Linked DNA regions of Mus musculus. The protein of the gene in region 1 purifies or fractionates together with the protein of each later gene. This does not show direct contact. Links are inferred from orthologs where the notes say so. Each region holds a gene or a part of one and is shown in the gene's direction. Other genes may lie near its edges.

Region 1 (15,742 bases):
AATTGAACCTCTATCTCCCTGAGGACGTGTCAGTTTCAGATGATCTGCTCTCTTACCCCTAGGGTGAAAGAAGTTGAAGAGTTGAGTAAGGGCAGCCTTGAGTCTGTATATTCGCTGTATCCCACACTTAGTAGATTGCAGGCAATTGGAGAACTGGAAAACAGTGGCGAGCTTTTCTCAAGGTAGGTGGCTTGCGGGTTTTGCTAATCCTGAAGCGTGTTGCTTGTTGTGTGTTGTGTGTCAGCAATGGAAACATGTGATGGGCATGATTGATTATTATTTGCTTTGTTAAGAAAGGTTTATGTGGGCTCATGGCTTCCAAAGGTTTCAGCCTGTGATTAGCGGCTTCTGTGTTGGCCTGAATGAGAGGTTGTATTGATGGCACACAGCAGGAGGGAAGGGGAGATCTGTTATAAAATAAACTGGATAAATTTATTAATGTGTGTGTAGTAAACACATTCTAGACATTTACCAACTGAGAAATGTAATGCCAGTAGGTATAACCTAAGAATTGAAATCGAAGCTCTTCAGAACCTTAATTTTAAGAGTATATAGAGATGCCTTTGTCTAAAATACTGTAGATCTGTTGTTCTGGGGTCGTTTGTGACAGAAGTAGAAGCTTGGTTTTGATGAACATGCACAAGCAACTGAAATGATTTCTCATCTTTACTTCATTATTCTCTTAGTCTCACTGGATCTTTTTTTTCTCCCTCTCAACACAAGTCCTGAAAGATGGGATAGTGTAACATATTTTAGGCATGTGAAAGGCAAAGTATTCATACAAATGAGTTGTTTTCTGTTTAATAATGTTAGCAGATGAAATGTTTTCAAGTGCCCGTTGTTTGTTCAATGAACTGATTTTTTTGACAGCTATGTATAGTGTCATTTGTAGGTAATTAATGAAAATTAATTGATTTCCTTGTAGATATGTCTGCTTTCACCACAATGAGGACTAGCAGAGTAGACGTGTCTTTATGATAGGTCTGAATGCAGCATTCTCGTTTCTGAACAAAATCTGTTTAAAGGCTACCTTTTAAAGTACCCATTATCTGTAACTACATGTAACTTTGCACTGTCCTAAGTATTTTTCATTTGCTCAACTAAGTTATGTGACTTGACTTTCAGGTCAGTCACAGACAGAGAGCGCTCTGAAGCATACTGGAAGTGGCAGAAGCACTCCCAGCTTCTGAAAGACAGCGACTTCAGCTTTCAGGAGCCTCTCATGGCTCTGCGCACAGTCATTCTGGAGACCCTGGTACAGAAGGAAATGGAGCGCTCTCAAGGAGCATGCTCTAAGGACATTCTCACCAAACACCTCGTTGAATTCTCTGTTCTGGCTCGAACCTTCAAGAACACACAGGTAAAAAGCTTATATTTATGTTACCTCACTTCTTGGGCTTTTTTTATTACTCAGATACCAGAAGGTATAATGATGTGAAGAAGAAATATCACTGAAAATTGGAAATCGTTGTATATAAAGTTATTGAAGATTTTAGGTTGACTGGGGCTTGTACTTAACTTACAATCCTAGTCACTTGAGAGGTTGAGGTAAGAGGATCACAAGTTCAGAGCCTACTTGCGAAAGACAATGAGTTCATGGTCCCCTTGAAAAACCTAGTGGGACCTGTCTTCAATGTATAAAAGGGTTGGGACTATGGATGTATGATAGCACGCTTCTTTGCATAGCTAATACAACAAGGCTCTGGGATCAAACCCCAGTATCGAGTGAGAAAACAAAACAAAGCTTTCATACTGGAATTAGACAAAAACTTGAGTTTAAACATTGGCAAGGCAATAATTATCATTTCTCGCCCCCAATTTCCTGGTTATAAAATAAGATTCCCAAACTACTATAATGTAATGGTAACAATTCAGTGATCTCTCTCTCTCTCTCTCTCTCTCTCTCTCCCTCTCTCTCTCTCTCTCTCACACACACACACACACACACACACACACACACACACACTTGTCAGACTTTGTGGTCTGCAGGTTGGTAAGTAAGCAGGAAACTAATTAAGATAGTCTCTGAAAAATGAGGTTCTCAGTGGATATCTTACCAGTAAATGTATTTATTTCCATATGCATTTTCACTGTAGCTCCCTGAAAGAGCAATATTCAAAATTAAGCAATATAATTCAGCTATTTGTGGAATTTCTGAGTGGCATTTGGAAGAAGCACAAGTATTCTGGGCAAAAAAGGAGCAGAGTCTTGCTCTGAGTATTCTCAAGCAGATGATCAAGAAGTTGGACTCCAGCTTTAAAGATAAAGAGGTATGTATGTGCTTTGTGTGCACGTCGGTGGGGTGGCTGCATCCGTGATTGAATGTTGTCAGAAAGCATTTCTGCTTCAGAATATGTCTGTAATGACTACATTAAGGTTTTGAAATTACGGGTCCATAAATAAAATAATATGAAAAGAGACTTTGAAGATTAATGTCAGAAATGAGACTTGAAAACTTTCTTATTTAAAACAAATCTATCAGTCTGTCTTGTAGTATATTCATTCAGTTTTTCCAGAAGTCAAAAATAATATGTAGGAAATAAATGGAAATACATGTTATAACTTTGAAGTAGCAAGGACAAAAATAGAATTAGAAATGTCTGAGAGAAGAAAAGTAGGAAACAAGTTACAACAATTTGTCATTCTTAAAGTGTTTTTTTTTTTAAGGTTTATTTATTTATTTATTTATTTTTTAAGATGATGATAATTTTTTTAAAGATTTATTTATTTATTTATTATATGTAAGTACACTGTAGCTATCTTCAGACACTCCAGAAGAGGGCGTCAGATCTTGTTACAGATGGTTGTGAGCCACCATGTGGTTGCTGGGATTTGAACTCCGGACCTTCGGAAGAGCAGTCGGGTGCTCTTACCCACTGAGCCATTTCACCAGCCCCCAGGTTTATTTATTTTATTTATATGAGTACACTGTCGCTGTCTTCAGACACACCAGAAGAGGGCATCGAATCCCATTACAGATGGTTGTGAGCCACCGTGTGGTTGCTGGGAATTGAACTTAGAGGACCTCTGGAAGAGCAGTCAGTGCTCTTAACCCCTGAGCCATCTCTCCAGCCCATAATTTGTCATTCTTAGTGCTCTGAAAATATCACATCCAGTGGACAGGACACTGCAGGGTCATGAAATATTAATTATAACAAAGCATTAGGTGCCAGTAGAATTTGCTTAAATATCTCCTAAATCGTATAGTCCCTAACATATGTGGTAGTTTTATACCTCATTTTTTGCATGGACAAATAGGTAATAATGATATATCTAATTTATAGTATTCCTGTGAAAATTATGCATTAATATATATAAAGCTATTGGAAAATTCCTGGCATTTTAAAATAATAATTAATAGTATTAATAGTAATAGCAAATTGTTAGTAATAATAATAACAACAACAACAATAACTAGACAGTTCACAGTGGTTGTTTCATGAACTGGCATACTTAGAATTATTTATACGGTAAAAGTATGAGGAAAATATTTTTAATTGTTTTTTTTTCTATCTACATGGAAGATACTTTTGTAATCTTGAAAAGGAATTACATTTTAAGTTTTTTGCTTCTTGATACAGAATGATGCAGGTCTCAAAGTCATATACGCAGAGTGTCTGAGGGTTTGTGGCAGCTGGCTGGCAGAAACTTGCTTAGAAAACCCTGCAGTCATCATGCAGACCTATCTAGAAAAGGTAGGTTGTTGGCACAGCTCTGAACATTATTGTTTAGTATAACTATACTTGATCCTTTTATGAAGACCATGTGTATCTTAAAAGCAAACGCAAGTGTGGTTTCAATCCTTCAGCTCCTGCTGGGGCTCTGTAATCCGTTAGAGCAGAAAGAAGCAAAATGCCACAGAGGGAGGAACAGCTTTGAATGCATGAATGTCTTCCGTCCACTCTTTATACCCACCCCTAGCGTTCAAGAAGTCATTTCTGATTACTCTGCTTTTATTCTACAAAATGTCCTATTAAACATAGAAGCCATCATTGCTATTTGTCCAACTACTTACGGTAAGGGTTAGGACTTCACTTCTATAATCCCCATTGGCCTTCCTGTTTCTCCTTCTTTGTCCTTTAGTCTCACTAATTTGGGAAATAGGAAGTTCAGTATGAAAAGTAAGATATAAATGTCGGGCTGGAGAGATGGCTTAGCCATTATTATATCATAAACATAAGATATAAATGTCTTTGATACTAAAGAGTTCTTTTTTGCACAGTTCATTGCAGCTGTTACCTGATAAGGTTCCATGCCATTAAGTTTCACATTTACATAGATTTGAGTGGGCTACCTTGGTCTGAGAGTCTTTAGCTATATCTATGCATGTAAATATGATCTTAATGGATTGTGTGTTGTTGAAGGCGGTGAAGGTTGCTGGAAGTTACGATGGCAACAGCAGAGAGCTCAGAAATGGACAGATGAAGGCCTTTCTCTCGTTGGCAAGGTTCTCTGATACTCAGTACCAGAGAATTGAAAACTACATGAAGTCATCAGAATTTGAAAACAAGCAAACTCTCTTAAAAAGAGCCAAAGAGGAAGTGGGCCTTCTAAGGGAACATAAAATTCAGACCAACAGGTAACTTTTAGCTGACGGTTTATGTTCGGCTGAGGGGCTGCTGACGTGAAAACTGCCCTGACCTTGTCATCTGAATTATAGTTTTGAAAACTTAGCTTTTTAATAGGCTTTCTCAGTCCTCTAGTGGCTAATCACAACTTCAGTCAGTTAATACACTGACATGTTCTTCTATGAATAATTAATGTCTTGGTTTAGCTCTTGGCAGAGTACGTGGATGTTAGTTTGGTTTTACTAGAAGCTGACATTAAGTATAGCAGACTTGCCTACTTTGATATTGTCACAGTACTTCTAAGTCTGCATTGGGTTTTTGTATGTTTGGAGTAAGCAGAGGATTAACTTAGAGTCCACCCTGTCCTTGGGTGTGTGGAAGACCTATTAATTGCAGGTGTGACAAGTCCTTTTATTATATTTAGAATTTTTTTTGGAGTGAACACCTTGTATTTCATTGATGTTGTCTTATCATGTATGATTTTATAGTTATGTAAAGGTTTGTGACTGTTATGTTTGAATTTATCAAGATACACAGTAAAGGTTCAGCGAGAACTGGAGCTGGACGAATGTGCTCTCCGTGCACTGAGAGAGGATCGCAAGCGCTTCCTGTGTAAAGCAGTGGAGAACTACATCAACTGCTTACTAAGCGGGGAAGAACATGATCTGTGGGTGTTCCGGCTTTGCTCCCTCTGGCTTGAAAATTCTGGAGTTTCTGAAGTCAATGGCATGATGAAGGCAAGTCTTACCCAACCCAGCATTTGAGCATACACTTTAAAAACTGAGGCCTAAGCCCCTGCAGTGTGGGATTTTGCACATCCCTGTGTACCCCTCCTAATGGGTTTGGTGCTCCATAAATAAGTACTTTATAAACTCTCAGTGATACAAGTGTGTGTGGAGGCGAGAGAATTTCTGTAGGTGTTTTACCTCTGCAGATAACACAGAGGAGTCCATAGGGGGGAATGCTAGACTGGAGAATAGGAAACATAAAAATAATGTGATGCTAAGCAAGAATTTTCCTTTGTTTTATTTGTGCTTTTGAGGGATTTTTTTTCCTAATACAGTCCTTTTACAAATAAAAAAAATTCATAACATGTACAGGAGTACTTGAAAGTTTTCATTGAAAAAATATCTTAAGATGTGGTCATAAAATAAATATATAAACTAAGTATATATTTAGTTTAAAGGTTAAAGATAAAATGTTTCTCCAGAATGAAAAGAATGGTAAGACTCAAAATCAACAAAACCAGTCTTTTCTACTGTATGTGTTAAACCTCATTACTTCTGGCATGTAGGGAAAAGAACTTGATTTTGTTACCCCCCCCCCACCCCATCCCCCGACTTCTTGGGAGTTGAGACCACAGTAGACTCAGATTCGTATCTATCCTCCTTGGAGTCACTGGACTGGATGTGGGGTTAGCATACCAGCTCTGGATGCAGTGTGACTTAGGGCTAAGGATTTTTGTTATCACTGAATCACTAGGTAAATTTTATTATCACCGAGGCGTCGAATTAGAAAGACTTTCAGATAGGCCAAGAGGTAAGGGAAATTGCCTAGTTAGTAAAGTTTTGACAGCCACTAGGGTGTACTAGTGGAGGATCATTATTTTAGGTACCATAGATATAAGATTATATTACAAACATGTTTCTATATTTTGTATTTTTTTTAATGGCAGAAAGATGGAATGAAGATTTCATCCTATAAGTTTTTGCCTCTCATGTATCAATTGGCTGCTCGAATGGGGACCAAAATGACGGGAGGCCTAGGATTTCACGAAGTCCTCAATAATGTAAGTATACTTGAAGTCAAAATGTAATAACTACCTTTTATGTTAGTAAACATGTGAAATCAAAATATTAAACTTTCTCTTTCATTGCAGATAAGCTTGTCTCTTATTTCTGACATTCCTCTATAGCTCTCTCTCACAGATATACACACCCACTACTTACTATACAATGATGACATTAACTTGAACTTGATGTAAAGTAAAATTAAAAATGTATATTTAAGGTTTTTTTCTATTTGCACGAAACTAATAGTTACTACTTTTCTGATAGCTAATCTCTAGGATTTCACTGGATCACCCCCATCATACTTTGTTCATTATACTGGCCTTAGCAAATGCGAACAAAGATGAATTTTTGAGCAAACCAGAGACAACAAGAAGGAGTCGAATAACCAAAAGTACATCTAAAGAAAACTCTCACCTTGATGAGGTATTTGGGTAAATGCAAGTACCCTTTTGTGTTGTGATGGTCATTCTTCCCCAGAATATTCCTTTTTTAATTCTCAGAGACTTTAAGAATGTATGTTTCTGGTAGTATTCTATATCCTTTATTATGATGATGCCACCCAGAATTGGTTAACAATTTCTAAGCTGGTATTTTAAAATACCAGTTTGATTTTGTTTTCTGGCAGCAATGGGCAAAGAAAAAGCAGATCTTTAAAATGATTTATTTGTAACATTCATGAGTGGTTCTCTGCACCATATGTACATCTGGCCCCTACAGAAGCCAGGAGAGGGTTTTGGATGTCCCTGGACCTGGGGTTGCCATGTAGGTTCTGAGAACCAAACCATGGTCCTCCCAAAGAGCAGCAAGTGCTCTTAACCACTGAACCATCTCTCTAGGCCCAGAAAAACAGATTTTTGAAAAGTACCCAAGTCATTAACCTTGAATTTTTTTATGTGTGTATTTCATTCCCTGAGTGGGTGTTTTGTTTGCATCTGAGGAATTATAGTCCTTTCGTTGTCTAGATCTGTGCATGGATTCTCTTTGTATAGCTCCAAGAAACTTAAATGTTTAGTGGGTCTTGTTCTTTGTTGTTGATGGTAGGATCGAACAGAGGCTGCAACCAGAATCATCCACTCCATCAGAAGTAAGCGATGTAAGATGGTGAAGGACATGGAGGCGCTCTGCGATGCCTACATCATCTTGGCAAACATGGACGCCTCTCAGTGGAGGGCTCAGAGAAGTATGTGTGAAAGTACCACTGCCGCTGTCCAGCTTGACCTGCAGTGATAGTCCTCCGTTTACAGCTGTCACTAAAATCTATTTATTTTTAACGTAGAAGGCATCAATATTCCAGCCAACCAGCCAATCACTAAACTGAAGAATTTAGAAGATGTTGTTGTTCCCACTATGGAAATTAAGGTAATTTACTATTAACTCTTGATTTTTTTTTAAAGATTTATTTATTTATCATATCTAAGTACACTGTAGCTGTCTTCAGACACTCCAGAAGACGGTTAACTCTTGATTTTTAATAAGACTAAATTACGGGCTGGTGAGATGGCTCAGTGGGTAAGAGCACCCGACTGCTCTTCCGAAGGTCCGGAGTTCAAATCCCAGCAACCACATGGTGGCTCACAACCATCTGTAACAAGATCTGACTCCCTCTTCTGGCCTGTCTGCAGACAACTACAGTGTACTTACATATAATAAATAAATAAATCTTTAAAAAAAAATAAGACTAAATTACACATTAGTAGATTAAATTATTTGTAGATTTTTTTTCAGTCCAAATGGCTAATTATTGTAGTTTCATATCTTTCTACCTATAGGTTGTCCATTAGATTTTTTTCTTTCTTTTTTTCTCCCTTCCCCCACCTCTCTCTCTCTCCCTTCCTCCCTTCCTCCCTCCCTCCCTCCCTCCCTCCCTTCTTTTCTTTCCTGTTATCTCTTATTGTTATTTTAACTCTAGGGACTGAACCTATTATGCACTGGGGAAGCCTTTTTTATACGTTTAAGGCAGGGTCTCACTTTGTTGACTATGAACCTGCTCTGTAATTGAAGCAAGACTAGAACTTGACCATCCTCCTCTCTGTCTTTTGAGTACCTGGGACTACAGACCTGTGTCCCGTTCACTGTTTTTCTCTGTATTATTCTTTCTCAGTGTGTGGGTGTGTTTCATGCCCATGGTGATGGAACACTCTACCTCTGGTTTGCGGGTGGGCAACACCACTCCATCATTTTTGTTGTCGCCGTTTTGGTTTTTAGTCATTCAGTATGCACTGGGATGTATTGGCTGTGATGTAACTATATTATTTAGTAAAACAGTAGGTGTTATGGTACCTCTAAGTTGCTGTGTATACGTACTAAACACCTATTCATAGTGATCTTTTATTCCTAGAAGTACCATGTGGGCAGGATGTGTGTAACACTAAAGGTTACCATTTTAGAAGCTGATGCGTTAGGTCCATGGTACAGCTCTCTTTCTCCTTCCAATGTGTACACTAAGATTAGTGTTCTTGTTACTGAGTTTGACCCATTATTGCATCATGCAGGTTAACAGATACAGGCTATGTGGTTTAGCTGAATATTTCCTCTTTTAAAATTTTACATGATACTCTTGTGAATTAAATAATTCCTTAGATTTTTTTCAACATATGTAAATAACAACTAAGTTCTAGTTTTCAGTAGTTTTTCAGCAGTACTATTTAATTGACTTAAAATGCTGAAGATTTATGAAAAGATGTTTAAGAAAGTAAACTGTGTTATATGTAATTTTAAAAATCTGGGCAGCAAGTAAAGACACTTGCTGCCAATCATTTAAACCAGAGCTCTGCCTGGGTACCAGCATGGTGACACATATGTGTGGTCACCCAAATACACACACATACACACCAAGTAAATAAGCAAACGTAATAAAAATCTATCAGTGTCATTAATTCTAACTTGAATTAAACAAATTAGAAATTAGAAACCCAGCTGTTAATTAGCAGAGTTATCATTTGTGGTTGTTTACTGTTTATCATTAGTTATTCTCCTGTTTTGTTTGTCTGACCTATAATAATTATTTATCATCATTTATTAGGTTGATCCCACAGGAGAGTATGAAAATCTGGTGACTATAAAATCATTTAAAACAGAATTTCGCTTAGCTGGAGGCTTAAATTTACCCAAAATAATAGATTGTGTGGGTTCTGATGGCAAGGAAAGGAGACAGCTTGTGAAGGTAAGACTTCCTGTTTCTGGTATAGTCTTCAGAGGATTAATGCCATCAACATCAACAGCAGGATATTTAATTCTTACCTCATTTGGTTGTCTGGATCTAGCTTTATCCTGAATAATGACAGGTAGAAAACATTTTTGAAGTAGAAATACAGTGTGATAGAATCAAACTGCTTTTTAGAATTGTGTGTCTTCTCTGAAAGACTGTAATTTTTGTTTTTGTGTCCTGCTATTATGGATTAGAACCAGGGCCTCGCTCATGCTCATCTGCTTCTGAGTTACATCCCAGCTCTCCTTTAGGTTTTATTTGACACAGGGTCTTGCTAAGCTCCCTGGGCGGGGCTTGAATTTAAGACCCTCTTACCTGAGCCTCTGGAGAAGCTGAGACTGTAAGTCGGCAGTACTGGGCTTAGCAGGCTCTTGCACAGTTGATTCAAGAGAAAGAATTGCACACGCTATGAGCTTACTTGTAAAAAAGGCTTATGGTGGGGATTAGAACAATTTAAGGCCTGTACTCAATATCCCGGGCCTGACACAGTGCCACTTGCTCCTGAGAAGTAGCAGCACTCCCTGCTTTGCATTGCTGCTTAGGTGCTTTTGGAGTCTTGCTGAAAATAGAAGAGAAATGAAAGATTACTTTATTTGGGTGTTTTGTATTGTGCCTTCAGTTGAAGGAGTTAGTTTAGTTATTAGAGAAGCAGCTAAGAGGAACTTGGCCTTTGTATCAATCTGCTTCCCAGTTTCATAGGTTTTGTTTTTTTTTTTTTTTCTAAGTGAAAAATGACAGTAGGTATTAATTATTCAAGACATTCTGAAGATGAGTGTAGAAACTCAGATTGACTAGTTCTGCCTTTTCTTAGATGACTCTGTGCTTATAATAAAGTAAACTCTGCCTGTTCATGTCTGGTTGTTCTGAAGGGCCGTGATGACCTGAGGCAAGATGCTGTCATGCAGCAGGTCTTCCAGATGTGCAATACACTACTGCAGAGAAACACTGAGACTAGAAAGAGGAAACTGACTATCTGCACATACAAGGTAACTTGTGGTCCTGCAAGGTAGCTTGTGTTCTGCAGCTTGCCCAAGGAAGGTGCACTGTTTGGACCAAGAATGAGCATATGTTTTCTGTAAAAGAACAACTAGTAAATATTTTAGACTTTGAGGACCATTCAGGTCTTTTGTATATTGTTTAATTTTTACTTATGACTTTTTAAAATCTCTGTCATCTTTTGCTCACAAGCTGTACAGAAATAGACTGATACTGGTTTTGCTTCAGAGGCTATGGATTGCCACTCTCAGGTTGGACAACACAACTTTAATTTTCATTTTAGTATTATTTAATGTTGGCTGCCATTAGACATTTTCTACAGTCAACAGCAATAGTCTCCCTTTATTGTGGTAAGTAATGTGCTGTAGGGATTATGCTGCTGCTTATCTGTGCATGGTTCATTTTGGTTATTTCTGGGCTTGTGTTACTGCACACGGTGATACTCTGCACTGAACAGATGAAGTGAGCATGCATGCTTCGTTCATTTCACATTCTGGTCAATCTATTGGAAAGATTTTCAGAAATTGGATTGCTAAGTGAGAGGACACTGCAACCTTCATTTGGTAGATTTTACTGTAGGACAGTCAATGGAGTTAGACCCATTTCCATTTTCTCCACAGTTCACTTGAGAAATCCTCGGGTCCTGTTATTCTATCATTAGCTGATCTTTTTTCCTAAGAGGTGAAGGTTTGTCCTTTTCCGGCTTTGTTCCCACATTCTCTTCCCCATCTCCATCCTCTGTCACTGCTGTCTCAGGGCTTCTTGCTGCTTATCTTTCCCCAGGAAGATAGGAACAAACTGAAAAGCATTTAATTCACGTCTAGTTGAGAACCAGCTCTTTTTAGAACAGTCTCAGTGGCTGTTTCTTTATTTTCAGAAGGGTAAACTCTGCAACTATTTTCTCTAGACACTCAAATATTTTACTAGAAGATAAACACTAGTAAAATATTTTAAAGTGCATTGGAAAAGTGTTCCCTTCACAACAGTTAAAGAGTATGTATCATCATGTTCACTGCAGCAGCACAGATTCTAAAATTGGACCAGTACAAAGAAAATTATCGTGGTCCCTATATAAGAAGAGGGAAAAGGTAGTATGTATTATGGAGTGTTGGGACCCCACTTGAGGTTTAGAAATAAAGAAGCTGAGATATCTGTATAGTTGAAGGCTCTTGGCTTTTTTGCTGGGGCAGTCTCTCAGCTAGCTTCTAACTTAACCTGACTGCCATCCTGTCCAGCCATGTGGCGAGCTCTCTCTTTCTCTCATCTCTCTCTTTACATCCCTGCTTCATTTTTGTCCATGATTCTGTCTTTCTGCCAAGACGTTCTGCTTTCTTCTGCCCCGTCTCCAGCCACCAGCTCTTTATTTAGCAAAAGTCACATTTCTTTCTCCTATCAAAAGCTGCTAGCACAGTGGGAGAGGTCCCACAGCTTCCCCCCGCTGAGCAGAGCAGCAGGACTACACCACGTTCATAGGGTGGTGTCCTTTTGGCCAGATTGAAGGCGGTGTCACCTTCCATGGCCTCCTCCATGGCAGCTTGCTTTTTATCATGACAGTCTTAGGGAATCCTCTTTGGTGCAGGTGAGGAAGTGACAAACATTTACTTACAGAAATCAGGTAATGCACCATAGAAATGACAATACCAAATATCCTGCCAGCACTTGGCACTGCTGGCACAGCAATTGACAATTGAAAATACAAGGGCCACATTTACAACACCATTTGATACAGTATGTGTAGGTGCAGACCATCCCTATGTAACATGAATAAACTGCCTAGGAGTGGTGTTGACAAGTACAGGAGTGGATTTTAAAAATTAGGAAAATAGAACATGTAAACACAAACTTTGATTTGTCTTAAATGGGATAGCATTGAAAAATATCTGCTTATTTGAAAATAATGTGTGATAGTAAAATTTCAATAAAAATTTTTAAAATAAGTATTGAATGCTTGCCTATCAGGTATAAGGCCCAGAGTTCAATATCCCACACTGAGGTGCGGTGTGGATGGGACTGGAGGAAGTCAGAATACAGAATAAGCCTTAAAACATTTTCTGGTATACATTTCTAAAAACCCAGTGTATATGCCACCGACTGAGTTACATCCCTAACCCAAGACATCCTCAGTCAGTGCTAAAAACAAAAGTTAAAAGTCGGTAAAAGCCGTTTTGTTGTTATTGTTGTTTAAGATAAGATTTATTTTATGTGTATGAGTGTTTCCCTCACATACTTTGTACTGGCTGATGATCAATGGTCACCGACAGTTCTTTAATGTCTTTCTAATCAGAGATATTTGACTTCATCTCAGGTGGTTCCCCTTTCTCAGCGAAGCGGTGTTCTCGAGTGGTGCACAGGAACCGTTCCTATTGGTGAATATCTTGTTAACAGCGAAGACGGTGCACATAGAAGATACAGGCCAAATGATTTCAGTGCCAATCAGTGCCAAAAGAAAATGATGGTGAGTCGGAAGGTTCTTCAGTCTTTCACATTGCCACCTGATGTTATAAAATATAAGATACATAACCTCATGAGGTGATTGTTGACGATAATAAGTAAAAACAAGATGTAAACTTAACAAGATGAGTGCATGTGTGAATAGAACAGGGCTGTTTTTAAACAGTATGAAGAGAGGAGGCATGTGTCGTTACAGACCACATAAGCTTGGGCTTAAGGAGGGATAGGTGAGGCTGGAGTTGTAATCGACCCAAAAAGCATAGGTTTGCTGTAAAATGTTTACAAGCATGTATCCTGTAGGTGAAGAGAGACCCCTGTGAAGAATCAGGGTGTCAGATTTACTTTTTAGGGGGAGGGCAGCATTGAGCCAGAGTCTCTCTAATACTGGCTGTCCTGGAGCTCAGGATGTAGACCAGGCTGGCTTGGAACTCAGAGATCCACCTGCCTCTGACTCTTGAGTGCTAGGATTAAAAGCATGGATCATCATGCCTGGCTTCAGATTTACATTTTAGGAAGATAATTCTGACAGTAACGTATGTTGTGGTTTTGAGAAAACAGATTAGGGGTATTATTTGAATTAAGACTAATTAATGTTATGAATGAAGAATTGTGGGTAAATAAGAAATACGTTAAAGAGGCAAGACTGATAGAATTTGATTGATTAGAAGTGATAATATACTCGTAGAGAAAGATGTGAGGAAAATACAAGGTCCTTCTGAATAGAGCTTGAGTCACTCAGAAATGAAGTCAGCAGTCAACAAACAGGATCATGTGAAATGAAAAGGCATCTTTACAGCAAAGGAATGAGGTAATCAAATGTAAAGGCGGCTTCCAGAATGGGGGAAAGTCTTTGCCAGCTCTGTATCCAACAGAAGTTTAATAGCTAGATAAGCAAAGAACTTATAAAAAAAATAAGAAAACACATGACCAAATCAATAAATAGGCTAAAAAATGAACAGTTAGAAAGGCAAAGTCTGAACCAACCTGTGAATACGAGTGTTCTACTTCACTAGACATTGAGATGCTCTCCTACCCAAGTCAGATTGACAAAGAAGGAGCCTGAAGGGATGGCTCAGTGGGTAAAAAGGTTCCTGCTGCTAAGCCTGACCACCTGAGTTCAAATCCCAGGAGCCAGGTGGTGGAAGTCAAGCGCCAACCGCACAGGCTCTGCTCTGACTGACACATGTGCACTGCGGTACGTGCATCCCCAGCACCCACACACACACAGTAAAGAAAATAACTGGGCGGGAGAGATGGCTTCGAGGTTGAGCGTACTTGATACTCTTGCAGAGGACCTGGGTTCAATTCTCAGTGCATGCATGGTGGCTCACAACCATCTTCAACCCCATTCCAGGGGCTCCGACGGGGTCCCGAATGCTGCACACACATGCATGCAGGCAGAGCATCCCTACACTTAGTAAACTAAACTAAACCTAAAGTGAGTAATGAACGCAACAAATGCTAGCACAGATGCCCTTATATCCTGCTGCTGCTGCTGTAAACCAGTCCAGCCACCGTGGACGTTAATGTGGAGGTTTCTTGAAAACCTAAAAACACATCTTCCATATCACCCAGCTGTACTGTTCCTGTACCTGAAGGTTTCCCAGGTAGTCATGGTATCTAAATTCTAGAGGCAGTCTAGGTGTCAGGCAATAGGAATCAATAAGGAAAATGGAAATTTTTTAAAGGTTTAAAAAGAATGAAGTTACATTGTTTGCAGAAAAATAGATGCAGCTGGAAATAATAATACTAAGTTAATTAAACAGGCATTATGTATAATTTTTCAAATTTGTAGTTCCTAGATTTTAAAAACAATATGTATATATAGAATGAAAGAGAGCAGAACTGTAATTTTTTCAGGATTCAAAGCGGGGGAGGGTAACAAGTGAGAAAAAAAGAGAGGAAGCAGGCTGGGGAGTATACTCGGTACACATCTATACCTGGATGAAGTTCTATGAAGTAGACAAGAACAGTGTCCGGAAGGTGTGTTCTTCCCAGGTTTCTGGACCACGAGGCTAGCTGCGGTGTTTGGATTTGGATGCTGAGTGGGAAATGAGGTGGGACTTCATCACTCAGGTTAACGGAGGTGTCTGGGCCAGGTCAACACACCATCCTCAGATGGATGGACACCGAGCCCACTGAAGTTGGTAAACTCGGCTTCAGGAACGTAATCCATGGAGGGGCTCTAGAGGACAGAAGTCTGATGCCTCCATCCCGTCACAGTTCTTACCCCTGCCCTGAGATTACTGGGAGATTATTGGGAGCGCTTCTGGCATTTCCCATGCCATTTCTCCAAATGATAAGAACCTTCAAATTAGAATTTAGTTAAAAAGCGTTCCAACAGAGAGGGTCCTCAGTCGATTATCACTTGGATTAATGGTTTTCCTGACCAGATTGCTAATTTCTTGTGAGTAGAGTGTCTTTCTCACCTTTTATTGCCCCTATAATCTATTAGCTGTTTCGTGTACATGTAAAAGCATTGTGGATGCTAGCTGAATGATGTGAGCATACTACTGAAAAAAATGTTATAAATGTTCTGTTTAAAGGAAGTGCAGAAGAAGTCTTTTGAAGAGAAATATGATACCTTCATGACGATTTGCCAAAACTTTGAACCAGTTTTCCGTTACTTCTGCATGGAAAAATTCTTGGACCCAGCTGTTTGGTTTGAGAAACGATTGGCATATACACGCAGTGTGGCCACATCTTCTATCGGTAATCCTGTAGAA
Region 2 (15,471 bases), about 9.1 Mb from region 1:
GGGCTTTTAATGTTAATAAGAGCCATCTCCAAGTTGAATGGACATTGAATACCTGACTTTCAGAAAAAGGAACCTAAGAAGTTCTTCTTCTTCTTCTTCTTTTTTTTTTTTTTTTTTTTTTTTTTTTTGGTTTTTCGAGACAGGGTTTCTCTGTGTAGCCCTGGCTGTCCTGGAACTCACTCTGTAGACCAGGCTGGCCTTGAACTCAGAAATCCACCTGCCTCTGCCTCCCAAGTGCTGGGATTAAAGGCGTGGGCCACCACCACCCGGCTTTTTTTTTTTTTTTTTTAGATTTATTATATGTAAGTACACTGTAGCTGTCTTCAGACACACCAGAGGAGGGCGTCAGATCTCATTACGGATGGTTGTGAGCCACCATGTGGTTGCTGGGATTTGAACTCAGGACCTTCGGAAGAGCAGACTTAACCACTGAGCCTACTCTCCAGCCCTTAAGAAATTCTTTGACCTAAGTAGTGTCAACTTCACCCTGATTCTAGGAGTATGCTGTAATTCAAAAGGGGATGGACAAAACGCCATGTTATTGTCAACTCCCTAACTCTCTGTGGTGGATTCCTCTCTGAGGAAAACATTTGCCACCTAAGGGATCAATATTCCAGTGAACTGCTGTACTACTAGCGTGTACAGGTGTCAAAAGGCAAGTAAGTGACTGGGAGGAAGAAACTTGACTGGGAGGAAACCCACAAGCTCACTGGAGGTATGGACAAGCTCTCCTGCCTCGTTAGTTATTTGCAATGCGTCGGTTTCTGTCTATTTGGAAAGCGTTGGCACAGTGCTGTGATCCAACATCAAGTTTTAATCCCTGCTTTAATCGAAGACCTGAAAGCTCAAACAGTTTCCTCCTGGCGAAATGCAGCGGTAGGTTGCCCAGCAACAAACTGCTATAGTGGAGGCAGAAGGTGGGTGGGTTGTGGGAAAAGTACCTGGATCATGAACAAGAAAAAGGGCGGGAGGGGCTTTTCGAGTGTCTGAGCTTCCCAGGTTTTAAAAACCCTCCAGATTGTTCCTGAGTTTCTGGAACCAGTGTTTACGTCGGCAACAGTTTTCCTGCAAAGAGCGGGTGTGCTTCCACACTCTCATTCTTCCTGACCACGGCCAGCTCTCAGTAGCCATATTTCCAGCCCCAGGGCATCCCAGACTAAGCTCAGGCTGCTAGCCCTTTAAACCCGACCTGCGAGGGAGACGACGTGGAACCACAGAACTAGCGGTGTCAGCCACGTGGTACGAGGAAGCGTTCATGTTGGAACTGGGCAAAGCCTATTTCCACTCTGAGCTGCACAATATGATTGTTTCGAGAGTATCCACGTTCTTGTATTTTCTTCAGTTGAGTTTTCAAAAACGCTAATGGTACCACTCCTTTAGAACTAAAGCTTTGTTTAAAATAACACTACCGGTCCGGCTACAGTGCCCGTTTTAAAAATGGTGCTTCGGTCTTCAGCAGCGATAGTTCTTTCGCAATTAAGATCCGGGTGGAAACAATGGGTAGGTGCAGCGGGGCAGAGCCGAGGTTGCTTCCTAAGAGCTTCTTGCTGGTCAGGAGGGAGGGTCAGGTCCTAGCGTCCTAGCTGGGTTTTGTTCCCGCTGGCGCCGGAATCCTCTGCGGGTTGGGAGCCGCACTGCCGGCTGCCGAGGCCACGGGATTGTTCCTGGCTTACCAGTTAGCTGAGTAGGCGGCGGGGCGGCGGCCACCGGAGGGTCACCATGTGGGCCTTCCCGGAGTTGCCCCTGCCGCTGCCGCTGCTGGTGAATTTGATCGGCTCGCTGTTGGGATTCGTGGCTACAGTCACCCTCATCCCTGCCTTCCGTAGCCACTTTATCGCCGCGCGCCTCTGTGGCCAGGACCTCAACAAGCTCAGCCAGCAGCAGATGTGAGTAACCGCACGCGAGTGTCCTGGGTTGGGGGGGGGGGGGGCAGGATTGTGCAGAACAGGGGCAAGGACTGAGATGCTTGGCTTTGCACTAGCCGGAAAGCTAACCTAGGCACCCAGAACTCTGGGAGGTCATTAAAGTTGTCTATCCTTGGGAAGGACGGAATGGAACTGTTGGGTGTCAGGAGTTGTAGAGGGGTAGGTATCCTTTGCCCTGTGCACGCTCTCCCTACTCCCCAACAAACAAAATCCTGAGAAGGCCACTTTGGTTTACTGGGACCCCTACTATTGTGAGTGACCACGCCCCTTTCTTCTTCCTCCTCCACCCTTTCCCGCTGGGCCGCAGCCCAGAGTCCCAGGGAGTGATCAGCGGTGCTGTTTTCCTTATCATCCTCTTCTGCTTCATCCCTTTCCCCTTCCTGAACTGCTTCGTGGAGGAGCAGTGTAAGGCATTCCCCCACCATGAAGTAAGTGCACCAGTGGGGAAGTTATTAGCGGGCTGGCTGGGGCCGGGCACTTGAGTTGGGGTTATTTGGATTTGGGAAAAGGATGCTTGTGGCCACAACCATAGAGACAGGAATTCTTGGACTGGTGATATAGCTCGGTGGTAGAGCGCTTTCTCAGTATGTGAGTATGTGCAAGGACCCGGCGTTCAATCACCAACTCCGAAAAAAAAAATGGAAAAGACAGGAATTCTTGACAGAGTAGAAGTAGGTGTGAGTCATTACGTGCCCACTTCTCCCCCAGTTTGTGGCCCTAATAGGTGCCCTCCTTGCCATCTGCTGCATGATCTTCCTGGGGTTTGCTGATGATGTCCTCAATCTCCGCTGGCGCCACAAGCTGCTGCTGCCCACAGCTGCCTCACTACCTCTCCTCATGGTCTACTTCACAAACTTTGGCAATACAACCATCGTGGTGCCCAAGCCCTTCCGCTGGATTCTGGGCCTGCATTTGGACTTGGGTGAGTAACCTTGCCACTACTGCCCCTGTGGCACCTACTTTCTGGTACCCTTGCCTCTGAGGTCCCAATAGAGGACCCCTCCTGGTGGTCCATATCCCCATCAACCATTTCTTTTCTGTCCTTGTATCTACTTTCTCTCTTTTCCCTCCTTCTTCCCTATCTCTTATTTCCTTCCTGTTTCAAGGAAGTCATGCTTGCACTAAGACTTATTATCAAAGCTTTTCCTGTCTCTGTTTTGTATTTAAAACAAAAACAAAAACAAAAAAACAAAACAGGGTCATAGGGCTGATGAGATGGCTTAGCGGGTAAGAGCACTGACTGCTCTTCCGAAGGTTTGGAGTTCAAATCCCAGCAATCACATGGTGGCTCACAACCACCTGTAATGAGATCTGACACCATCTTCTGGTGTGTCTGAAGACAGCTACAGTGTACTTATCTTTGGGCCATAGCAAGCAGGGACTGAGGGAACAGGGTTGACCTGAGAGAGCAGAGGTCCTAAGTTCAATTCCCAACAACCAGATGAAGGCTCACAACTATCTGTACAGCTACAGTGTATACATAAAATAACAAATACATATACATAAAAATAAATAAATCTTTAAAAAACAAAACAAACAGGGTCACACACTAAATTGCCTTGAACTTATTTAGCCCTGGCAGGCCTTAAACAGGTAATCCTCCTGTCCCAGCCTTCCAAGTAGTTAGAATTATAGGCCTGAGCTACTAGACCTTGCCTATTTGGATCCTTTCTGGTGTTCCATTCATCTTGTGCTTTGTTCTGTTAACAAACAAATCCAAATCCTACTCCTCGCTGTGTCCCCCAGGGATCCTGTACTACGTCTACATGGGGCTGCTTGCAGTGTTCTGTACCAATGCCATCAACATCCTGGCGGGCATTAATGGCCTAGAGGCCGGTCAGTCACTAGTCATCTCTGCTTCTATCATTGTCTTCAACCTGGTGGAACTGGAAGGTAGGTGAGATTGGGGAGAAGGAGAAGTCTGGGTGTTAAGGGAATTGCCTGGTATGACTCTAGAGAGTTTCTTGTGTGTGTGTAAGGGGTGGGGAATGACAAGACAACAGTGATTTTAGAATGGGAGCTATTTACTTTGTACACAGCAATAAGGAATTAAGCATGAGAAACAAAAGCATTAATGCTATCATGTATAGCTTGATGGTCATGAATAGCTAGACCAATTCTTTCTTTCTTTTTTTTTTTTTTTTTTCTTTTTGGTTTTTCGAGACAGGGTTTCTCTGTGTAGCCCTGGCCGTCCTGGAACTCATTCTGTAGACCAGGCTGGCCTCGAACGCAGAAATCTGCCTGCCTCTGCCTCCCAAGTGCTGGGATTAAAGGCATGTGCCACCACTACCCGGCGACCAATTATTTCTATTGGGCATAAATAGCTTCACAGAACCCCAGCAACAGGTACGATCACTCTCTGACCATAGTGGGGAAAGACTCTTGCCTTCCTAACCCTGTCTGATTACAGATAGACCCAGAACACTTAGCAATATAAAAATGACCACAATCCCGCAGCTAACATGAGAGGGTACAGCTTTTTTCAAATAACAATTTAGTTCTTCCTGCTTCCTTTTGTTTTGTTATTTTGAGACAGTCTTGCCATGTAACCCTGGCTAGCCTCAAACTTATGATCATCCTATCTGTCTCCTAAGGGCTGGAATTGCAGGCCTGCACCACCACACCTGGCTTCCTCCTACTCTTAAAAAAAAAAAAAGTTAAGTTATTCATGTATTTGGCCTTCTGTGCTCCCAGTTTGGAGCACATGTCTACTTCCTTTCATCCCTTCCCAAATTATCCAAAACAAATTCTAAAATAAGCCCCTCATATTGAAATATTTTACGGTTCCCTCTGGTGTATGATTCCCAAAGTCTTAGTCTCTATGTAAGCCCAAGTTTGAGTATTAGTTACTTTTGGTCGTGTTGGACATCAACAAGTGCTTATTAAGCCTAAGCGCTTTGTTTTGAGACAGGGATGTACCACGTTGCCCTGGAACTCACAGAGCTCCAAGTTCTGAGAGTAAAGGGATGTGTGCCTCCCCTTGTCTCCCAGCTAAAGCTAAGCATATTTAAAGCATTATCTCATTTAAATTAAATGACTCTGTATAACTGGCAGTACCCAGTTTTTGACAGATAAATGGAAGCTTACCAAAATTCAATGTGTCATTTCACACAGCTAGGAAATAAAACTGGTATTCAATCAAATCCCAGCTGGAATTTTTAAACCACATTTAAGATAGTCACTAGGTTTTCTGTTGTTTTCTCTGTCTCTCTCTGTGTCTCTCTCTCTTCCTCTCCATACCTCTGGCTATCCTGGGACTCACAATGTAGCCCAGGCTGGTCTTACACCAGGAGATATTCCTGTGTCTTCTGAATATTAGGAGTCACTAGCCTTTTGGTTGTTTTTTTATGTTTTGTTTTTTAAAAGATTTTATGCATGTGGATGTTTTATCTACATGTACATTTATCTGTACACCAGAAGAGGTCACCAGATTCGATGAGACTACAATTATAGATGGTTGTGAGCTACCATGTGGGTGCTGAGAATTGAATAATTGAATTTAGGACCTCTGAAAGAGCAGCTAGTGCTGTTAATCATTGAGCCATCTTTCTAGTCTGTTGTTAGCTTTTTTTTTTTTTTTATAGGTCAATGAAAGTAATGAGAGTATCGGGAATGGCCTGGGTGATGTGAAAGGGGAAGTTAGAGCTGGGCACGGTGGCAAACACCTGTCATCCCAGCACATGGGAGGTGCCCGCCAGACTTGGCTACATAGGAAGTCAGGGAGCAGCAGTGGCAGGGTGGGGTAGAGTTGGTCTTGAAAGTGACTTGGGTGCTGTGTTCCTAATGGCTGGGAACATAAATTAGATACAAATGAGACCAAGGTACACAGCGGGATGCCGGTACTGACTCCCTTCTGTTTGCTTTGCTCCAAAGGTGATTATCGAGATGATCATATCTTTTCCCTTTACTTCATGATACCATTTTTCTTTACCACCTTGGGACTGCTTTACCACAACTGGTATGTAGGCCTATGGATGAGAGAGGAAATGATTGATGTATGTGGCAGAGATGGGCTTGACATAACCCAGCTTCTAATGAAGAGACTAAAATTGCTCATACTTTTGTTGGATATTCTCTGGCTCTGCCATTGGTAGTAGTTTGCCACTCTTGTGTGAGCACAAGCACTCGTCTGGTGTGTGTGTGTGTTTGTGTTTATGAACAGGGTATTAAATCTGAGGTCTTAATGCTAAGCAAGCACTTTAGATTTTAGCTGTATCCCCAGACTTTTTTTTTTTTTTTTTTTTGAGAATAGGGTTTTAGTAAGTTGCCCAGGCTGGCCTTGAACTTACGGTGTTGTCAGGCTGGCCTAGAAATACAGGCATGTGCTATTAGATCCCACCCTTCACCCCACCATCTGCACACCCTCGTGCTGGGGATCAAATCCATGACCTTGTACTCGCTAGGTGACTGCTTGCCCGGTGAGCTACAGAGCAGCCTGGTGCTGGTGTGGAATCCCTGCCTATCCTGCAGGAGTTGGGAACAAATGCTGTGTAGCCCCTAGGAGTAGATGAGTTGGGGGCCGTGGGGCCTATAGAGTTTCTGGAACAGCCTTTCTTTTAGAACTCAGGGTCAAGGCTGGCCTGTTACTCAGAGCGAGTGACTGAAAGAAAGAGTCAGTAACAACTCTTGCCATTGGCTGAAATCCTCTCTCCCACACAGGTACCCGTCCCGCGTGTTTGTGGGAGACACCTTCTGTTACTTTGCGGGCATGACTTTTGCCGTGGTGGGGATCTTGGGACACTTCAGCAAGACCATGCTGCTCTTCTTTATGCCACAAGTATTCAATTTCCTCTACTCACTGCCTCAGCTCTTCCATATCATCCCCTGCCCTCGACACCGGATGCCCAGGTAACCACTCTGGGGCTTTCAAGGGTCATAATAGTTTCTGACTTGGGATAGCTAAAGCCAACTTGCATTTCCTATGTAAAAAAAACATGAGGGGAAAGATGAGCCGACTGTATGTGGGTAGCCCATTGTAATTTACGAAGCTCGTTTACTTACATAGTATGTAATGCTTACAACAGCCCTGATCACGGAGCCAGAAACCAACTCCAGTACATAAGTACTCAGTACTCTTTTTTTTTTTTTTTTTTTTTTTTTTTTGGTTTTTCAAGACAGGGTTTCTCCTTATAGCCCTGGCTGTCCTGGAACTCACTTTGTAGACCAGGCTGGCCTTGAACTCAGAAATCCGCCTGCCTCTGCCTCCTGAGTGCTGGGATCAAAGGTGTGCGCCATCACGCCCGGCCTCAGTACTCTTCTTAGTAACCAGGGTGCAGAGGTCTCTGATTCAGTCAAATGAAATTATCTTCCCATTGCAGACTCAACGCAAAGACAGGCAAACTGGAAATGAGCTATTCCAAGTTCAAGACCAAGAACCTCTCTTTCCTGGGCACCTTTATTTTAAAGGTAACAAGGTAACAGGAGGTAAGGCCCGAGGCCGCCATCCTTAACTTGGGAAAAGAGAAACCTAGGCCTTTTCAGGCCCAAGGGGAGTTTGGGAACATCAAGAAGATCCCTATTCGTGAAGTAGATCTGCATAACTGAAGTCATCTTCACCTCTGGTCCCTGCAGGTAGCAGAGAACCTCCGGTTAGTGACAGTTCACCAAGGTGAGAGTGAGGACGGTGCCTTCACTGAGTGTAACAACATGACCCTCATCAACTTGCTACTTAAAGTCTTTGGGCCTATACATGAGAGAAACCTCACCCTGCTCCTGCTGCTCCTGCAGGTACAGCTCAGGGTGGGGCTTAGTAATGCCATGGCGTTTACATCTCTGGTTGGCCTTGCTTCTAATTCCAGTCCACTTCTCCCAGGTCCTAAGCAGCGCCGCCACCTTCTCCATTCGTTACCAACTCGTCCGACTCTTCTATGATGTCTGAGCTCCCTGACAGCTGCCCTTTACCTCACAGTCTCCATTGGACCTCAGCCAGGACCAGCCTCTGTCTGGTCCGAGATGACCCTCTGGTCCAGGCCTCGCTGACACTTTTGTTCTCAGCTTCTGCCATCTGTGACTACTGATATCCTGGATGGACACCTTGCTGGACTTGAAGTCCGCTAGTTGGACTTTGCCTAGGGCTTTCATCTTGCCTTGCCCTCCCTTTCTGTCCCATCTGCAGCCTCACCAGGTGGGCTTGTAGCCTCTATTATGCAAATATTCGTAGCTCAGCTTTCAGAGCGCTAACTCTAAAGGAATTCACCTGAGCCTTGAGAGAGAACCTGGGCTAGGGCTAGAGTTAGGGCTACATACTCCAAGGTGACCTCACATTTGACTATCAAATGAAGTGTTGTGATTGGGAAGCGTAGAGGCAGGGCCATGTGCTCAGAACGGTGACAATAAAGGACTGCCTTTTACTTGTTCCTCTAGTGTAGCATCCCCTCCCTCTGTCCTTTTTAACCTTCGTGGTGCTTCAGGAGTGAACACCGGGGCTTCCTTATACTTAACTGCTCTACCACTGAACTATATGCCAAGTCTGGTATATTTATTTTTTATATAGGCATTTTAGGATAGATTGGAAGGGTTAGACCGGGTACCTTTCCCAATAGGATACCGATCTCTGTTCCATCAGACCCTTTCTTGCAAAAAAGGCCTGTCACAAACTAAGACCAGACAGAACATGTTGAATAAATATCGCAGCACAAACTTGTGATAGCATAAAAGATCACAGTGCTCCATTTTCTGGCATAGGATTAAACTCCTAGGAGGTTTCATTTCGTTTCTTTTAAACCCTCCCTCCCTTTAATCTGCACTAGGGAGGCAGAGGCAGGCTGATCTCTGAGTTCCAGGACAGGCAGGGCTACTCAGAGAAACCCTGTCTCAAACAAACAAAAGCCAGATGGTGGTGGCGCACGCCTTTAATCCTCAGGCTTGGGAGGCAGAGGCAGGCGGATCTCTGAATTCAAGGCCAGCCTGGTCTACAGAGTGAGTTCCAGGACAGCCAGGGCTACACAGAGAAACCCTGTCTCGAAAAACAAACAAACAAACCTAAAAATAATAATGAACAAATAAACCCTCCGTCTACCAGATTAGAGGAGGGAGTGGGAAGTGCTCTAACCTGGAAGGAGAACGCTGCTTATAGTGTAGACCCTTTTCCTTTAAGACCAAAGACCGACTCAAATTTCCCAGAAACTGTAGAGGTAGCTCCAAGCTCCACCCTTCTAGTCTTCAGGTTTTGTTGTCGCGCCGTAGCGTTTAAATTTCGCGCGCTCTACACGGATTGGCCATTTCCAGGGGTGAGCAGCCTCCGGCTTGCGGCCACTCCGCCTTGTCTTCTTCCCCGGGTAAAAGGTTTTCAAATTGGACCAATCACTGGGCGCGTTCTCTCAGCTAAGGCGCGTCACCGAAGGGTTAATTGCAACCAACCAGAGGTGGGTATTAAAAAAGGAACCAATCAGGAGGAAGCGGGGGCGTGTCCAGGGAGTTTATAAGGCCGGGCTTGGCCGGCCAGGCGACCGTTGACTGCGGCGGTTGGTAGTTCGTGGTCTCTCAGCGTTGTTCGCAGCTCTTCTACCTCGTACACTATGTCCGGACGCGGCAAGACCGGCGGCAAGGCCCGCGCCAAGGCCAAGTCGCGCTCTTCACGCGCCGGCCTTCAGTTCCCTGTAGGCCGCGTACACCGGCTGCTGCGGAAAGGCCACTACGCCGAGCGCGTGGGCGCAGGCGCGCCGGTGTACCTGGCAGCGGTGCTCGAGTACCTCACTGCCGAGATCCTGGAGCTGGCGGGCAACGCGGCCCGCGACAACAAGAAGACGCGCATCATCCCGCGCCACCTGCAGCTGGCCATCCGCAACGACGAGGAGCTCAACAAGCTGCTGGGCGGCGTGACCATCGCGCAGGGCGGCGTCCTGCCCAACATCCAGGCCGTGCTGCTGCCCAAGAAGAGCAGCGCCACCGTGGGGCCCAAGGCGCCGGCGGTCGGCAAGAAGGCCTCGCAGGCCTCTCAGGAGTACTGAGGGGGCCCGCGCCGAGGCCGCCCAGCCCTCCCCACACCTCCACAAAGGCCCTTTTAAGGGCCACCACCTCCCTCACAGAAAGAGCTGAGCCACTTCGGGCTGCGGCGGCTTGCCGCGTCCCCATCCTTTCTCTTTCCCTCCTCTCCCCTCCCCGCCCTCGCGCCACTCTTCCCCTTACCCCGCACGGCCTCCGGTTCTGCCACGGAGGACGCGGGCGCCGCGGCACCTGCCCATCCCGGAGCTCGTGACATCGCTTCGCCGTTCTCGGTTGTGGACGACGGCTCCGTGCGGAGAGGCTGCGGCGCCTTCCCGGAGTCTCGGCCCCTCGCTCAGACGTCCGGCCGCGGTGGGCTTGAAGGTTAGTCCCTCCGCAGCTACAGCCCCGGCGTCTTTGCTTCAGCTTGGTGCTTAGCCCTCGCCTGGACCTTTGAAAAGTGACTTGATTGCCGGGCTTAGAGGAGGAGAAATGGATCACATTGTTTCCTTCGGTGTCACCGTTGCTGGCCTCATACCAGTTGACCCTGTCGCCATTCGTAGGCCAGTGTGGTGTGGCGGGGCCAAAAATGGTTGTAATGTGAACCCAGTTTCTCTAGGAATACCTCCCGGCAAGGGTCAGAGAGACGCTTACCGGCCTGTGGACAAGAGTTCTATACCTGCCGCAGGCGACTGGCAGCCGGGCCTAGCCATCCATCCCCTCTTCCCCAGCGACTCAACTACAACCCAAACACCTAGATACCAGCACAAGCCGGTGAATCCCTGTCTGGACTGAGCCTCTGGCTTCTGAACTGGAACTTTTGCAGCTATTACAAGTTTAGAACCTTAAGTGGGGAGATTTAATGGGCTAATTTTATTAAAGGATCGTTTGGTTTTGTTTTTTTAAAAAAGTGGTTTAATGTTGAATGCTGTAGTCCCAGGGCTGGACATATAGCTCCGTGGTAGAGCCATGTGCCTGGCACATCTTGGGAGAGAATGGGACTTCCCTTTCTGCAGGCCGTGGGAGTGGGAAAGGCTATGTAATCCACGAAGATCCCGTTGACTGAAGACAGGCTGTAGGAATTGAAGGCTGATTTTTTTTTTTTTTTTTTTTTTTTTTTTTTTTTGAGAACATGAGGCAAATCACAGCGTGTTTTACAACAGAAAGGTCTCAGACTCAATTCAAGTTTAAAAGGGCTTTGGGTTTATTCATATCTTCCCCAACTCTATCAGAAGAACCACATTCTAAACTGGTTTATTAGTGGTATTGGTTACATTCAAAGATTGGCATGGACTTTCTCTAAAGAGATGAAGCCCCCAACTACTGAGGGAAAGGCAGATATGGAGGCCCCAAGGTGAGGCATATCTTCCAAAGTGGAAGTCTCAACAACCCCGTGGTTCAATTTCCTGGGATAATCACATCCCTAGGGATGGAGCACAGGGCACTTGGAAGCCAGAAGTAGGCAGTGGAGTGGCAGCCAGGGTTCCTGTGCCCTACAGACCAGTTAGCGCACATCATTAAGCTGCCGTGCAACATCCAGGATGTTCTTGGCTCCTTTGTTGAGCAGCAAGCTGGCCAGGCTGATGCCCAGGTTCTCAGCAGCTAGCTGGGCTCCTCTTGGAATGTTACGGGCAGTGATTCCAACCAGTTGTGGGTCATCTTCTGGACCATCTTCTTGCTGGATGACAGGTTACAATTTTGGTAAGAGGAAGATTACAAGCAGTTCTATTTATTCCTTCCTCATCTCCCAGTCAATACCTGAACAGGGACCTGGATGGTGGCCTGCATAGTCTCTTGCATGCTATCTGAGCCATCTAGACTCCAGACTCCACCAGTCAGGTACAGCTAGGAAATAAAATGTTTGTACCAGGATATTTAAAGAAAGTTACTTAGATGTTTCGGTGCACATGGAAATGACAGTCCCTCCCCTCATCCATTTCCCTGGCTTACTTGCCCATCTTTCATCACTGTATGCACTGCTACGGGCACGCTGCAGCCTCCTTCCTGCAATGATATGTTCCTTTGAGCTCTAAGGGCCTTTAACACCACTTTTGACCACAGACCTCAAGGGGCCAGATCAAGGTCCTCTCCATACATACAAAACATTACATACTGAGTACTTGACAAATCTCTCTCCCTACTGCCCTTCCTGGTTTCCCCACAACACCATGGGAGGAGCCCATCTTACCAGGTGCCTCAGAAAAGCCCTTTCAGCAATGCAGCGAAGCAGAGTTTCAGGATCGTGCAACACACTCACTAGGTCCAAGATATCCTGGTCCTTGGCTCGGACTTCCACGGCTAGGGCTCCCTAAAGAACAACAGGCCTGATCTTCTCTAGTAATAGAGCTAAGCATGAGAAACACACCTCTACCTGCTTCCCTGGGTCTTATGCATAACAACCAAACCTGTCCCTCTCTAAACATCTTATTTGATGGATAGCAGGTGCCAAAGGTTATGAACCAGGTTCTCTCCAGGCAAACCTACCTGACCCACAGCATACATGCATTCTTCTGGGTGCAAAATCTGTGGAGAGAGACAAGATGGTGGGATAGGGGATGTTCAAAGGCAGTGAGCTAGGGTTTGCCAATCTAGGAAGCCTGGGGAAGGCACAGGTAGGAAGTCCAGCAATGAGTCCCAATATCCCTAGCCTGGGCTTCTGGTTGTAGTGTTGTTGGCAGAATGGTCAGGAAGAAATCAAGGCAGGAGAGAGGCAGATTCAATGGGAAGCAGAACAGGGCAGCTCCTACCTGGCCCACCCGGTTCTGCCAGCCCATGCGCTGTAGGCCAGCCACAGCCAGGACGATGGCACTGAATTCCTGCAGCTCATCCAGCTTCCGGAGGCGGGTGTTGAGGTTTCCCCGCTGTGGAGCGTTGCTAAGGAGAAGTCAAGACCTACCCAGTGCACCCTCTGCCCCACAGTCTCTTTTCCCCCCTCTAGCTAACTTTTAAAAAACTTTTGTTTTTGTTGAGTGGTGGTGTATACACCTTTAAATCCCAGCACTGGAGGCAGATACAGATCTCCATGAATTCAAGGCTAAATCTGGTCTACAGAGAGAGTTCCAGGACAGGCTGGGCTATACAGAAAAAGCCTGTCTAGAAAAATGGTAGAAATGAAAAAAAAAAAAAAAAAAAAGCTGGGCAGTGGTGACACATGCCCTTAAGCCCACAATTTGGGAGGCAGAGGTAGCCGGATTTCTGAGTTGGAGGCTAGGCTGGTCTATAAAGTGAGTTCCAGGACAGCCAGGGATATACAGAGAAACCCTGTCTCGAAAAACTAACTAACTAAATAAATAAATAATAAAATAAAAAGACTTCTTTGGAGTCGGGCGTGGTTAGAGCACGCCTTTAATCCCAGCACTCGGGAGGCAGAGGCAGATAGATTTCTGAGTTCAAGGCCAGCCTGGTCTACAAAGTGAGTTCCAGGACAGCCAGGGCTATACAGAGAAACCCTGTCTCGAAAAACCAAAACAAACAAAAAACAAAACAAAAAAAGACTTCTTTGGATAGGATCTCATAGTGTAGTCGTGGCTGTACTGGAACTTGCTCTGTAAGTTTTATTTTAGTTTTATGTGCATGGGTGTTTTGCATGCCTGTCTCCAAAGGCCAGAAGAGGGCATCAGTTCCCCTAGAACTGAAATACGAAATAGTTGTGAGCTACGGTGTGAGTGCTAGAAGTTGAACCGGGGTCTTCTGGAAAAGCAACCAGCACTTTAAACCCCTGAGCCATCTCTCTAGCCCCAGGACACACTGTTTTTAAAATTAGTTTTATGAAACATATCACATATTCACTGTAAAAACCAAAACCACTTAGCAGCACAGAAAGTAAAAGCAGAAGCGCCTCTGTCCCTGCCACCAGGAGTGGTCACCGGTCAGTATTACCTGCACTGCAGTGCCTGCCTGTCTGTCTAACATGTCAGCTCTATAGAACGAGGAACCATGTTTGTTTTGCAATTGTCCTCATTGCCAGGCCATTAAAGGGTGCCAGGCAGTGGTGGCCCACGCCTTTAATCCCAGCACTCAGGAGGCAGAGGCAGGCGGATTTCTGAGTTTGAGGCCAGCTTGGTCTACAAAGTGAGTTCCAGGACAGCCAGGGCTACACAGAGAAACCCTGTCTCAGGAAAAAAAAAAAAAAAAAAAAAGGAAAACATTAAAGGACTGTGGATGTGTGGATGGATGGATGGATGGATGGGTGGGTGGGTGGGTGGGTGGGTGGACGGACAGCTGGAAAGACGACCCCCTGACCGCATGGACCACTTGCTTCGGAAGGTCCTTCTTTCCCTCTTTTTCCCCTCCTTCTTCTGAAAGGATACAATACTCTTGAATTCCAGGTGGGGGAACTTTCTCTGTAGCTGAGCCACTCTCCTCAGAGAGCTGGTTCCCACGGCACTGCTCAGAGAGAGTTTAGAATTAAACTTAACCCAGGCTGCCAACTGTTCTCCACTGTCCAGCCCTCTCTCCCCCGCACACTAGGCCCACTCACCTTTTCTCTGGCAAGGTTTCCAGGGTCTTTCCAATAAACTTTGGGTGAAAGACAACAGCATCACAAGGGTTTTCCCGTCTGCAAAGCAAATGATGAAATAAAGGTATTAGCATTTGGAGATAAGGCTTAACTCTAGCCCAGGCTGACCTAAAATTTTCTCTGTACCCCAGGCTAGCCTTTAACTCACAATAACCCTCCTGCCTCAGCTCCCTGAATGCTGAGATTATAGGCATGAGCCACCAGGCCAAATTCATTTTATTTTCTTTGGAAAGGTTTTATATTTCTTTCTTTGTTTTTTCTTTTTTTTTTTTTTTTTGGTTTTTTTTTTGTTTGTTTGTTTGTTTTTGTTTAGTTTTGTTTTGTTTTTAAGACTGGGTTTCTCTGTATAGTCCTGGAACTCACTTTGTAGACCAGGCTGGCCTCGAACTCAGAAATCCACCTGCCTCTGGCTGCCTCCCAAGTGCTGGGATTATAGGCGTGCGCCACCACCACCCAGCAGGTTTTATATTTCATTTCCTTGATTGTTTCCATTTTCATTGATGAGATGAGGAGCATAAACATTCTACAGCATGTATGCATGAGTCAGATGACAACTTGTGGGATTCAACCCTCTTCTTTCACCAAGTGCACCCCACGGACTGAACTCAGGTCATTGGCTTGACAGCAAATGCCTTTACCACCTAAGCCACTGTAAGCCAGCCTTCTGGTGCCCCTAAGGCACAATCTAAGTTCCTCGGGCTGGTTCAAATCCCTCTGTAGCCCAGGCTGGCCCAGAATCTCTGATCCTGTCTTAGCCTCCCCAGTAGCTGGGATTTCAGGTCCGTGCCACTGAGCCCAACTCCACAAACTCTAAATAGTCAACCAATTGGCTTTCCTGCCACACTATGTCTGACAACCTTCAAAACAGAGGGCTAAGCGGTCAAGTTCCAAATGGAAAAAAAAACAAAACAAAACAAAACAAAAAAAAAAACTCAAAGATTCCCACAGTAGGATTAATCCTGCCCAGGGCCCTCCCTCCCATGCATGTCCTCCCCGCTTACTTGCAGATGGCTCCAATAGTAAAGCCAGGAGGTAGTATGGTAGGCACATCCTTCAGGGAGTGAACGACCAGGTCCACTCTGGAGACGACATGGGGAGGACACA

What was found.
Region 2: the proteins of Atm (region 1) and H2ax purify together in Homo sapiens (affinity purification with western blotting; 11 studies listed by BioGRID and IntAct, with this or other methods). This does not show direct contact. The link is inferred for Mus musculus from reciprocal best matches to the Homo sapiens genes ATM and H2AX.

Annotation. Positions count from the first base shown.
Region 1 is NC_000075.6:53,445,331-53,461,072, reverse strand, and holds part of Atm (serine-protein kinase ATM), read left to right. Parts: exon of another isoform or gene 1-62; coding exon 63-182; intron 183-1,125; coding exon 1,126-1,360; intron 1,361-2,096; coding exon 2,097-2,270; intron 2,271-3,581; coding exon 3,582-3,695; intron 3,696-4,364; coding exon 4,365-4,579; intron 4,580-5,097; coding exon 5,098-5,305; intron 5,306-6,243; coding exon 6,244-6,357; intron 6,358-6,625; coding exon 6,626-6,784; exon of another isoform or gene 6,785-6,792; intron 6,793-7,402; coding exon 7,403-7,541; intron 7,542-7,637; coding exon 7,638-7,720; intron 7,721-9,383; coding exon 9,384-9,524; intron 9,525-10,438; coding exon 10,439-10,555; intron 10,556-12,870; coding exon 12,871-13,020; intron 13,021-15,562; coding exon 15,563-15,728; intron 15,729-15,742.
Region 2 is NC_000075.6:44,325,320-44,340,790, forward strand, and holds H2ax (histone H2AX), read left to right. Parts: upstream 1-9,395; 5' UTR 9,396-9,442; coding exon 9,443-9,874; 3' UTR 9,875-10,758; downstream 10,759-15,471. Other genes in the region: Dpagt1 (UDP-N-acetylglucosamine--dolichyl-phosphate N-acetylglucosaminephosphotransferase), read left to right, coding at 1,720-1,886, 2,233-2,353, 2,634-2,847, 3,672-3,818, 5,799-5,883, 6,585-6,773, 7,244-7,331, 7,497-7,652 and 1 more; Hmbs (porphobilinogen deaminase), read right to left, coding at 11,353-11,526, 11,607-11,693, 11,799-11,852, 12,037-12,156, 12,333-12,371, 12,596-12,709, 14,159-14,234, 14,329-14,406 and 1 more. UniProt on the Homo sapiens protein: Variant histone H2A which replaces conventional H2A in a subset of nucleosomes. Nucleosomes wrap and compact DNA into chromatin, limiting DNA accessibility to the cellular machineries which require DNA as a template.